Canis lupus familiaris: one gene and its partner. Each later gene encodes a partner of the first gene's protein in a complex. Links are inferred from orthologs where the notes say so. Each region holds a gene or a part of one and is shown on either strand. Other genes may lie near its edges.

Region 1 (6,558 bases):
CCCCGCCGGGGCCCCGAGACCGCGCACAAAGGGCCCCGCCCCCGCGGCCCCGGGTCTCGCGCACCGCGGCGCGAGGGGCGAGGTGGGGCGGGGCCCGGCTCGTACCTCGGTTCTCCGCTCAGGAGCCCGCCTCGACCCCCGGCCCCCACCCCGGCCCCATCCCGGCCCCGACCTCCGGACCCCGCCCCCGGCCCGAGCCTACCTGGAGCGCGGCGTGGGCGGCCCCGCAGCGTGGCCCCCGCCCCCAGACGGGCGTCCCCGGGTCTCTGGGCGCGCCGGGCGCGGCGTCCCCGGGGCGCGGCGGGGTCAGCGCTCCGCGGGGCCTCAACTCGGGCGGGTGCGGGGGCGGACCCCTCCCGGGCCCAGCGTGCAGCCCCGGGCCAGCCCTCCCCGCCCCTCGCGCGGCCCGTGCGCAAAGCGGGTCTGGCCGGCGACGCGACCCTCCGCCCCGCCCCAGCCGAACGCGAATTTTCCCATTGGTCGGGAGACCCAGGGCGGCCCGGCAACCGGCGCCGATTGGGCGGGCGCTGGGAGACGCCGGCTTCCCATTGGGCCCCCGGGGTGTCCGTCCCGGCCGACCGCCGGCCCCTCCGTGGAGTGGCCGAGGCCCCGGCACCTGCCGGGACCGCTGCGGCGGCGGCCGGGCTCGGGGCCGCCCCCCTCTCGGCGGCGTTCGAGGACCTGCCCGGGCCCCCCGGCACCGAGCGGGGATTGGCGAGCCCCGCGCCCCTTCCCAGGACTCTGGCCTCGCTGCCTCCATCACCGCCCCTAGTTCGCAGGGATCCTTCTCCCGCGCCTGCTGTTCACCGGGCGCGCCGCGCCCTCCTGTCCGGATCTAATTGTGTTCTTCGCACACTCTGCGAGGGAGAGTTGTGCTACCTTCCCATTCTACAGATGGGAAATCGAAGCTCAGAAAGGTTCTCACTTGCTTTAGGTCACTCGGGTGCAAGCCTAGCCCGTCACCCCCGGGCCTGGGGGGTTCTCGCAGCAGGGGCGCGGCCCGACCTGGGCTCCGCGAGCCTGGATGGGGAGCCGTGTTTCTCGGGGCAGGAAGGTCCTTTCGGCGAACCAGAGGTTGTCCTCCTCCACCGGCCTGAATCCACGGACCCCTCGGCTCGGCCCACCCTGCAGGGCTGCCCTCCCCTCCTCTATCAAATCACCGCAGCTCAGGGTCCGGGAGGGGTGGAGGGAGGAGTTTGTGTGTTTGTCACCAGCCTCCTTCCTGGTGTCCCGTTTCCTCCACCCTACCTCTGGTCTTGGAGAAACACTGTAGGGGGCGCAACCACCTGAATGGAATTTAGCACAAGTCGCATTTCTCTGCCAGGTGGAGAGCCGACACCTGGTCCTTGGAGGGAAACGAAGCACACATATATGACCACAAATGGAACCATAATCCTTGGCCAGCTCCACTTAACTTTGTGGTGTGTGTGGTGGGGTACCAATAGGGGTGCTGCATGTTGGAGCTTATTTCAGGGGGTTCATGAGATGATGGCCCCTTGGCCAGGGACTCTGGCTTAGTTCTAAGCCTTTCCTGTCCTGGTTGCACCTGGAGATGACCAGATTCTCAGCCCATCATATTCCCCATGTCTACCCAGGGAGTCACAGACCCATGACAGCATTAATGGGGAGACCAGACATTCATGTCTTATCCACCCACATCAGGGAGCCAGAGTGTTCACCCATAAGTTGCTTCCTCTTAACAAAGAAAGTGAAGTGATGTAGGGCCAGAACTCACCACTGGTACCACCATTGGGTTCCCCCTGTGGTACCTAGCACACGTAGCAAATCCATCCTACCCTTTTAGAACCAGTCAGCCACTGCTGGTCAATTGAAGTTGGGCACTGGAGGTGAGAGCCATCTGACACTCTGGCATAGCGATGTTGCTTGTATCTCTGGGAAGATGGAGTGCAGGTGTCCTTCCCTGGAACACAGGAGTCTCTGTGAGCAAGTTAGCTCTTGTCTTATGGAGCTGCACCATTGGTGACATTCTGAGCCAGCTGCTGTGTGGGCTGGAGGGATTTTCTTCCTTCCATTAGTCAAACTGTCCCTACGGATTTCTCCAGGGGCATTGGGCCCTGGTCCTCCTGGAGCGCTATTCTCATAGTGAGCTTGTGATTCAGCATCAACCCTTCCCCACACACTTGCTGATGGTGGCAGGAGGGGCTGGACAGAGCTCTGGTGAGAGAGCAAAAGGGAGAATCATGCTCCAAAATTGTCCTAGGTGGGGGCTGCCTCCCCGCCTCCCGCTCCAGGCAGGATTCCGTCCCCCAAGCTGGGTCACCAGCTATATACAGAGGAGTAGGATGGACAGTGTGGGTTCCAAGGAACTCAAGGCCATTCTCAGGCAGCAGGCCTACCATAACCCAGGCTGCAGGCAGGGGTCAGAAACAGTCAAAAAACAGGATGGAGAGTCCCTACCATGTGACCACTGGCACAGGGACCAGTACCCTAGGCTCCTCCCTCTCCCCCCACCTCCACCTAGCTCTGTGGGGACATCCTGGGGACATGTGAGCAAAGCTATAGGGGGAAAAAGGTTTCAGATGGAGGTCAAGAAGAACTTCTCAACAGTGGCAAATGCTTAGAGACCAAAAAGGGTGACTATAAGGTAGTGAGCTCCCCAACTAAGGATGTGTGAACTCTTTGCATCCCTAATACCCGAGAGTTCAGCTTCCCGCCCAAACCCATCTTATCCTATCTTATCTGCTCCCTAGCACTGAATGTTGTCAACTGGAGTCAGTGGAGACAGATCAGAGTGAGTACCTGACATGGCTCCATCTAGATGGGAAGAGTGTAGCTGGAAGGGGGCTGGCCCAGAGCTATGTGCTTTCGTGGCAGACCAGGATTTGAACCTCTGTCCAACCCATGCATGAGCTCATCTCTCTTTGTTGATAACAGGAAAGCACCTCCCCTGAGGCGTGTGGCCCAGTGGTTTGGGGGCAGAGTACTCTGCAACTGCTGCCTTGTGCCCCAGGGTGAGGTCACACAGCCTCGGCCCCAAGTCTTGCTTATCTAACTTTATTGCCTCTTGGGTGGATTGCAAAGTCTGGCTGCTCAGAGGGAAATCACTGGTACCAGCTCAGGAGGATTCTGCTGCTGCATATGGGGAGGGAGGACCATGCATCAGGCTAGGTTGACCACTTGCTGGCCATGAATCCTTGGACATCTGGAGTCTTCGGTGTCCATGTCTGTAAAGGGCTTCTGTTGGGTTCCAGGAGGAGCACAGAAAAGATGGCAAGAGAGTAGGGTGGAATGGGCATTTGGGTGCATCAGGCAGGTTTGGATTCAATACTTGCCTTTTTCTATCACCAGTCAGGCCCCTTCCCTCTCTAAACCCCAGTCTTCCACAGGACATCAGTGCTCTGAGTCAGGAACAGGACAGGAGGGCTTCACACAGGACTGTGGAGCTAATCCAGCCACTGCCATTTGCCATCTTTTTTAAAAAATGACATGGCTGCTCTGAACTTCAGCCTTTGTATATGTAAAATGGGGGGGAATAATAGCTGTGGACAGGGACCCTGGGTTTAGAGTGCTTAGCACACTGTTACTATTCTTAGCATAACTGTCATCCTTGTCATAGTTTGCTGAGCGCCCACTTGGGAGTAGGCCCTGGGCCCTTGTCCCCTGACTCTCCACTCTCCCTGCATTCAGGCCCCAGACACAGCCTAGAGGTCTTTGAAGGCAGGGAGCGCAGTGAATGCCTCTCTCCTGTTGGGAGGGCCCCAGTCAGTGCCCCTTCCTGCCCTCTTGCTCACTCATTACAGCTGAGGGTGGTCCAATTCTTCATCCTAGGGCCTGGACCTGCAGAACAGCCTCTAAGTGAGCTCAAAGGCCAGAGTGGCTGGGTGGGTCTGGAGTGCCTGGTCCAGGGTCTTTCCTGAGTGTGCCAGGATTCCGGGGTAGGGTGGGTGGTGGTGGAAGTGGTGGTGGAGTGGCGGTGCAAAGGCTAGAGTGGCTGAGTGGGTCTGGAGTGCCTGGTCCAGGGTCTTTCCTGAGTGTGCCAGGATTCCGGGGTAGGGTGGGTGGTGGTGGAAGTGGTGGTGGAGTGGCGGTGCAAAGGCCAGAGTGGCTGGGTGGGTCTGGAGTGCCCGGTCCAGGGTCTTTCCTGTGTGCGCTAGGAATTGCGGGGCTGGGGTGGAGGCGGTGCAAAGGCCAGAATGGCAGAGGCAAAACCCAACTGGGGGCCTTAAAGAAAAGGTAGGGATGGCCAGGTCTGGAGCCAGTACAGGGTGTGGCCCAGGACCCGGTCTGAGGGGCGGGTCCGGAAGTGGGCATCCCCCTATCGCTCTCAGCGAAGACCGCCAGGTGGTTTGGTGACCTACCGCCCCCGGAGTTCAGGCTGCCGCCCTAACGGGTCCGCGAAGCCATGCCCTTGGGGCGGCCGCAAGGGGCAGCGACCTCGCGCAGGCGTCCTCAGGGCTGGGGAGCTGGGAAAGCCGCGGGGGTCACGAGACCCCCAGACGCCCGCGCAGCCCGAGGCTTGGCGCAGCCCCGGGGGCGGGGCGCCGGGAGGGCTGCAGCCCCCGAGCGACAGCGCGCGCAGCCAACGGCGCTTGGGGTCGCGGCGTGCGGCCCCGCCCCTGGCGGCGCAGTCCAATGGCGAGCGCTCAAGGGGCGGAGGCGGGGCCTGGGCGGGGGCGGGGGCGGGGCCTGGGCGGCGGCGGGGGCGCGCGGGCGCGGCACCCGGAAGTCGGCGGCGGCGGAGGCGGTGAGTGTGCGGTCGGCGGCCGGGCCGGCGGACTCCCTCCCGGGAGGGCCGGCCCGGGACCGGGGGCGCGGGGTCCGGGGGCGCGGGCGGGGAGGGGAGGGGCAGGACCGCACCTCCCGCCCTGCCTGGTTCCCTTTCCCGAGGCGTGGAGTGGAAATCCGACGAGAGACCCCACACGGCCCCCGACGCAGCCCCATGGGTTCCTGGAAGGCGTGTCCAGTGACCCCGCCAGGATGGGAAGCGGGGCCACGGGCAGGCCGGGCGGGCCTCGCTGGGGAGGCAGCCTGGCGGGGCTGGGAGCTGCGCGGTCGCTGCGGGGTGGGTGGGCTACGGCCTCAGACGGTTCTGAAGCCCTGAGTCACGGTGCCGCCTCCCCGGGGCCGGTGTCCGGGCCGCCGGCTGACCGCCGAGGTCTGAGTAGGCAAGTGCTGGCTCACGCCTTTTCTGGGGTGGCTCCGTTGGTCAGGGCATCGAAGGGGGACTGGGCAGGGGACCCCTCCCCGACCCCAGCGTGGCAGGTGCTTCACGGCCTCCCTAGAGTGAGCCTCCTGCCCTTGGACCAGTCCCCGAGCCTTTTCCTCCAGCAGGGGTATCACATGCTGGGCCCAGGCCTGGCCTGGCGTCCTGTTCCCGACCTGCTGACTGCTGTTTGGGCTCAGAGCTCTCTTCCATGAGGCAGTGGTGACGCCATGGCAGCTATAAGGGATACCTGCAGCTGGTAGCACTTTGGAAATGCTTTCTCGAACTTGCTTGTTAAACCTCTGGGGAACCTTTTTGGGCAAACGTTCATTGGTCAGATGCTGTCCACAGCTAAGAACACTCCAGCTGAGGGGCAGGTGGTGTTCCCAAGGTCACTCAGAGCCAGGGCCAGGTCCCAGTGCCTCTGTTCCACCTGGGCCACTGTCTCAGGATCCTGGGGTGACCTGTCTGATGGGGCGGAGGCAGGAGGACACAGCAGCGGTTCTGTCCCCTGTCTCCAGGATCCTAGTGCTCCCGTGTGGTGGGTGGGCTGCCTTGGTGCCTCCACCTTAGCCGGCCTTTGACCACTAGCCTCAGTCCTGCGGCTTCGTGTTACTGGCATGTGCACAGGCTTCCGGCCACTCAGACTGGGCTGCTGCCACTGCCTGCGCTGGTATGTAGTGACCGCAGCCTTTCCTGAATGAAGGAAACGGGCTGTCAATTCTGTTTTGGCCCCTCAGCCCCTAAACTGTTGTTATGGCCTCATGCTTCTTTTGTGACCTCTTTTTGTGGGCTTTTGGATTCCATTTCACCGTGGATGTAACTCTGTGTGGTATCTTGGGGTCTCATTCCCGTGCCTGCTTCTGCATCAGAGGGTGAGCTCTCTGTAGGCACCTCTGCTGCCTGCCCACAGAAGATGTGTGCTTGTTACTTCTGAGGACTTCTGTGGGGAAACGAGGTGCCTCCAGAGCATGTCTGGAGGTAAATGGCCCATGGCAGGGAGACTGGAGGGCTTTTAGAAGTGGTTCCACACTTGTCATTGTTGCTCCAGATGTTCAGGGACTGGGTCCATCCTTTGACAACACGTCAGTGAGTGAGGGCATCACCGCAGAATCTGGCATTTGTTGGTCCAGACCATAGGGTTGGGTGATGGCCTCTGCGGAAACAAGGTCACCCCAGGTCACCCCAGGAAGCAGTCTTCCCAGGTTATCAGTGTAGTTCCCCCCCTTAACTTTCTTTTTTAGATTTGCAAAAATGATACATGCACACTTAAAAGTAAAAAAAAAAAAAGGCTGTCCACCATCTCTTGGTGGCTACTGACACTCAGGGTACATCTTGGTGGGAGTACTCCATCGTCCTTTATTGAGCACAAAGGCAGCGGGGGCCACTGTGAG
Region 2 (6,202 bases), on another chromosome or scaffold:
GAAATTGAAAAAATAACATTTAAAAAGTCATAAACTTGCCACTCAGAGAAATCACTATTAACATTTGATGCATTCCCCATGTATATATATATATTTCTAATATTTTGTTTCAATTACAGTGATTTTTAAAAATTAAAATTATAAAGAAGTATATGGAGTAAATTGTGAAAATCTACTTCAGTCTACCTCCCCCAGTTCCTGCTTTCTCAGAAAACAAATTTGTATTATATACTTTCAGATCTTCTATGCATTTACATACATATATACTTGCATGCTTATATTTTAAAATAGGATCACACTCTGCATATTCTATTTAATACATTTTGGAAATCTAGATTACGGCAGATCTTTTTTCTTAAATGCAGCATAGAATTCCATTTTCTTTTTTTAAGATTTTATGTATTAGAGAGTGAGAGAAAGAGCACGAGCAGGGGGAAGAGGTAGAGGGAGAAGGAGAGGAAGAAGCAGACTCCTCCCAAGGAGCCTGATGTCACGACTCAACCCCAGGACCCTGGGATCATGACCTGAGCTAAAGGCAGATGCTTAACTGACTGAGCCACTCAGGCCTGGAGGATTCCATTTTAAGGATAAAGTATACTGTAATTTATTCAGCCTTTCACCTATTGATGAATTGTTAGGTTTCTAATTTTCTGCCATTAGTAACAGTGCAATAGCAGTGAACATTTGTGAGTATTTCTGTTGACCAGTTTCCGGAAGGAATTTTAGCAGGGTCAAACAATATGTAAACATATATATTTTTTTACATAGTTGAGATTATAAAGCATCTGTGATCCTGGTTCATGAGATTATAGCATATGTAGTTCTTCATGTTGTTAAATATTTATGTAATTTTAAAATTGTGTAATACTCTTTAATAAAATACCTTTTGAAGAATATATAGCTTCATAAATCTTTGTCTGAATTTCAGATCATCTCTTTAGGGCACATAATCTGAAATGGATTTACTATATCAGAAGGCATGATACATGTTTCCAGATTGCTTTCCAGAAGTACTGTATCTACTTTCACTCCTCTAGGAGTGGTTGTGAACCCTGAATATTAGCATTGGCTTATCCTTACTGTTTAATTTTCACTGTCTTGGTAGGTGAAAAATGTTGATTAATTCTGGTTTTAATTTCGATTTCTGATAATTGATGAAGTTTGAACATTTCTCAGACAACTCTCCTATATCCTCACATCTGCATTCCTCCTGTATTTAATCTGTTATCACGTCCTGCAGAGTCCACTGCTTTCAATGTGTAGATTACATCCTTCCTTTCTTTTTTATTTATTTATTTTTAAAAATATTTATTTGAAAGAGAGCCCACACACAAGTGGGGGGGAGGGGGAACAGAGAGAGAGGGAGAAGTAGACTTCCCACTAAGCAGTGAGCTCCAGGATGTCTTGACTCAATCCCCGGGACCCTGAGATCAGGACCTGAGCCGAAGGCAGCTGCTTAACCAACTGAGCCACCCAGGGGCTATCCTTTCTTTTTTAAAACTGTTGCCTTAGGTGAAATCCTTATTGCCAAAAAGAGGTTGGGGTTATAACTGATCCTGCTTGTGTCACACCAGCCCCCTCTGTTTGAGTTCCACACTGTTGCCAGGGTGATCTATTATTTGAAAAGGCTCTGGTTACCTCACTTTCCTCCCCTCACTCCCTTACCCACTCCCTTACCCATTCCCTTACCCTCACTCCCCTACCCCACTCCTCTGTTTTAAAACCCTTAGAAGACTCTTAACGTTTGTCTATCAAGTAAGGCCTTTGGGATCTTACTCTCTACCTTGCCAGCCTTAACTTCTTGCCTGGGCTCATCCTATTTTATGCTCCATTGTAATTTTTAAAAATTTATTTGTGGATCCTTGAACTGGTGAGTCTGTTTAAACAATTCTGTGCCAACTGTTAGAATTGACCAACTAGTCCCTGTTTTATACCACCTTTTCACGCTATACAGAATTTTGTCATAGCAGGAATAATGTTTATTTGCCCTTTTGCCTTTAGTAAAGATGTATAATGCCCCTGTAGGACTATAAACCCTTTCTTGGTTTATTGATCCTTGTATCCCAAAGCCAAGTACTGGACTTGCCAGTTGAAAAATATAAAATGAATGTATGATCACCCTTAATGTCTTTTTCCCATTTATTGCTTAGGCCTTAATATTTCCTTGATTTTATTAATTGGCATGAGTTCATTATATAAGGATATTAATGTACTGTTGTGTCTTCTCAAGTGTATTGTCTTTTAATTCTGTTTAATCTTACCTTTGATGTAATGAAGTTTTTCATTTTTATGTAATCAGGTATAGCTATCTCGTATTTGTTCACAGCTTCCAGTGATTTTGCTGCTGATTTTTTATGCCTTTTGTGTTCTATGATGTTAATATATGTTCAATATAGAAAACCTAAAACATAGAAATGTCCAAAGAAAATACTCCTTTAATAAAAAAGTTCCCATAAGCCTACTGCCCAGAAATAACCACTATTAACGGTATTCAACACATAATAGGTATTGAGTAAATAATCTTTGGATGAATGAATTAAAAATTTGGTGCAGTCTTTTTATTTATATGAATATTTTAGAACAAAGCTATCCGTTTGAGTTTTATATTATTGGTTTGCTTTTTTCTCTTACTATGTTGTGAACATTTTTCCATGACAATAGTCTTCTAATTTTTTTTTTAGCTACACTGAAACTGCATTGAGCCAAGCTTGCCACCAAGAGCCCAACAATCATCATGATGCTGAGCACGGAAGGCAGGGAGGGGTTCGTGGTGAAGGTCAGGGGCCTACCCTGGTCCTGCTCAGCTGATGAAGTGATGCGCTTCTTCTCTGATTGCAAGATCCAAAACGGCACATCAGGTATTCGTTTCATCTATACCAGAGAAGGCAGACCAAGTGGTGAAGCGTTTGTCGAACTTGAATCCGAAGATGAAGTGAAATTGGCATTGAAGAAGGACAGAGAAACCATGGGACACAGATACGTTGAAGTGTTCAAGTCCAACAGTGTTGAAATGGATTGGGTGTTGAAGCATACAGGTCCGAATAGTCCTGATACTGCCAACGATGGCTTCGTCCGGCTTAGAGGACTCCCATTTGGCTGTAGCAAGGAAGAGATTGTTCAGTTCTTTTCAGGGTTGGAAATTGTGCCAAATGGGATGACACTGCCGGTGGACTTTCAGGGGCGGAGCACGGGGGAGGCCTTTGTGCAGTTTGCTTCGCAGGAGATAGCTGAAAAGGCCTTAAAGAAACACAAGGAAAGAATAGGGCATAGGTACATTGAAATCTTCAAGAGTAGCCGAGCTGAAGTCCGAACCCACTACGACCCCCCGCGAAAGCTCATGGCTATGCAGCGGCCAGGTCCTTATGATAGGCCAGGGGCTGGCAGAGGGTATAATAGTATTGGCAGAGGGACTGGGTTTGAAAGGATGAGGCGTGGTGCCTATGGTGGAGGGTATGGAGGCTATGATGACTATGGTGGCTATAATGATGGCTATGGCTTTGGGTCTGATAGATTTGGAAGAGACCTCAATTACTGTTTTTCAGGGATGTCTGACCATAGATATGGAGATGGTGGGTCCAGTTTCCAGAGCACCACAGGGCACTGTGTACACATGAGGGGATTACCTTACAGAGCCACTGAGAATGATATTTACAATTTTTTCTCACCTCTTAACCCCATGAGAGTGCACATTGAAATTGGACCCGATGGCCGAGTTACTGGTGAGGCAGATGTTGAATTTGCTACCCATGAAGATGCTGTGGCAGCTATGGCAAAAGACAAAGCTAATATGCAACACAGATACGTGGAGCTCTTCTTGAATTCTACTGCAGGAACAAGTGGGGGTGCTTATGATCACAGCTATGTAGAACTCTTTTTGAATTCTACAGCAGGGGCAAGTGGTGGTGCATATGGTAGTCAAATGATGGGAGGAATGGGCTTATCCAACCAATCTAGTTATGGGGGCCCTGCCAGCCAGCAGCTAAGCGGGGGTTATGGAGGTGGGTACGGTGGTCAGAGCAGTATGAGTGGATATGACCAAGTGCTGCAGGAAAACTCCAGTGACTATCAGTCAAACCTCGCTTAAGTAAACAATACTAAACAGCTATTACAAAAATAAAATCTCTGCATTTATGGGAGTTGTAGAATGGGAGGGATGTCTAGTATATCCAGTATGATTGGTAAATGGGAAATACTGATTCTGATCACTCTTGGTCAGCTTCCTCTTTCTTTCTTTCTTTCTTTCTTTCTTTCGTTCTTTCGTTCTTTCGTTCTTTCATTCTTTCCTTTTTTTTTTTAAGAAAACAAAAGTTAAGTTTAACAGTTTTGCATTACAGGCTTGTGATTCATGCTTACTGTAAAGTGGAAGTCAAGGTTTTACAACTTTAAGCTCAGTAATTTTGAACACTGAAACATTCATCTAGGGTGTAATAACAACGTTCAGTATTGACCATAACTGTTAAAACAATTTTCAGCTTTCCTCAAGTTAGTTACATTGTAGGAGTATACCTAAGCAGTAAGCATTATTTAGGTTAAAGCAGTTTCACTTATGTTAAATGTTGCTCTTATACCACAATACCTTGAAAACTTTGGATGCATGTTGAGAAACATGCTTTTCTGTAAAACTCAAATATAGGAGCTGTGTCTACGATTCAAAGTGAAAACATTTGGCATGTTTGTTAATTCTAGCTTTTTGGTTTAATATCCTGTAAGGCACGTGAGTGTACACTTTTACTTTTTTAAAGATCTGGGACAATTTTGAGATGTAATACCAATACTTTAGGAGTTTGGTCATGTTGTTTGTATGAGATTCTGAGACTTTGATTTAAACCTTTCCTTGTATTGTGATTTCCATTAGATGTATTGTACTAAGTGAAACTTGTTAAATAAATCTTCCTTTTAAAAATGAAAAATCTTGTGCAGCTTGATTTCTTTTAAAAATTTTATTTATTTGAGAGAGAGAGAGGCAGAGAGATCAAAGAAGGAAAAGCAGATTTGCCGCTGAGCCGAGAGCTGGATGCAGGGCTCAATCCCGGGCCACTGAGATCATGACCTAAGCTGAAGGCAGACATTTAACTGAGCTACCCAGGCGCCCCAACAGCTTAATTTTTTAAAAATGTTCCATCATATGAACCATTTCTTTGATACAAGTCCTCTGCACTTGAAACTTATTTTTTTAAGATTTTTATTTATTTATTTGATAGAACAAGCAGGGTGGAATGGCAGGCAAAGGGAGAGGGAGAAGCAAGACTCCACACTGAGGAGGGTCCCGGACATGGGGCTTGATCCCAGGACCTTGAGGTCATGACCTGAGCCAAAAGCAGATACTTAACCCACTGAGCCACCCAGTGCCCCTGCCACTGAAATTTAAATTTAATTTTTATAAACACACATTAGTACCATCATACATAAATTGTTCACTGTATCATTATTTTTAAGATCTATGCCTAAAAGTGGGATTGTTGAGTCAAGTGTACCCACATTTTTAAGGCTTTTGATTTGCATTGTCACATTATGGTACTCTTTGCACTGCCCCCCTCCACCATGATGCATATTATTCTTGATCTTGGCTAATTTATTAGTTGAAAAATGGTATCCCGTTGCTATTTTAATTTGTTTAATGAGGTAGAGTATTATTCTGTTTCTAAACTCTCCATGTCCACAGGACTATTGGGCTTCTCTGGAAACTATACTTTATCAAGACAGCATTCTCCAAAAGCCAGAAAGTAAAAACAAATCCCCTTCCTTTCATTGAATCATATATGGAAGATCTAAGGCACCTTTATATGTTCTAAAAAAGAAGCCTATGTTATTATATAAGTAATTCAGTCTCCTCCATGAATTTATTAATAGTCTCTAAACACTATGAGGTTTTTCAGGGCATTTAAAGCTTGTTCTTAACCATTGGTTCGCATACCTTAGTGTGCACCAGAATCATCTGTGGGGCTTCTAAAAACAGTGGTTACTGGGCCTCACTCCTAGAGTTTCTGAAATCTGGTGATTCTGGGTTTGTGTTTAAGAATCTGGGGCACCTGGGTGGCTCAGTGGTTGAGCATCTGCCTTCAGCTTAGGGCATGATTCCAGGGTCCTGGGATAGAGTCCTGTGTCGGGCTCCCCACAGGGATCCTGCTTCTCCCTCTGCCTGTGTCTCTACTCTGTGTGTGTGTGTGTGTATGTGTGTGTGTGTGTGTGTCTGTCTTATGAA

What was found.
Region 2: ARVCF (region 1) and HNRNPH2 share a complex: the UniProt entries of both Homo sapiens proteins name them as parts of the ribonucleoprotein complex. The link is inferred for Canis lupus familiaris from reciprocal best matches to the Homo sapiens genes ARVCF and HNRNPH2.

What each region holds. Positions count from the first base shown.
Region 1 is NC_049247.1:29,464,267-29,470,824, reverse strand, and holds the start of ARVCF (armadillo repeat protein deleted in velo-cardio-facial syndrome), read right to left. Parts: upstream 4,462-6,558; 5' UTR 4,320-4,461; intron 2,076-4,319; exon of another isoform or gene 1,922-2,075; 5' UTR 1,797-1,921; intron 293-1,796; exon of another isoform or gene 203-292; intron 1-202. UniProt on the Homo sapiens protein: Contributes to the regulation of alternative splicing of pre-mRNAs.
Region 2 is NC_049260.1:75,728,922-75,735,123, forward strand, and holds the end of HNRNPH2 (heterogeneous nuclear ribonucleoprotein H2), read left to right. Parts: intron 1-1,651; exon of another isoform or gene 1,652-1,870; intron 1,871-2,681; 5' UTR 2,682-2,734; coding exon 2,735-4,084; 3' UTR 4,085-4,910; downstream 4,911-6,202. UniProt on the Homo sapiens protein: This protein is a component of the heterogeneous nuclear ribonucleoprotein (hnRNP) complexes which provide the substrate for the processing events that pre-mRNAs undergo before becoming functional, translatable mRNAs in the cytoplasm. Binds poly(RG).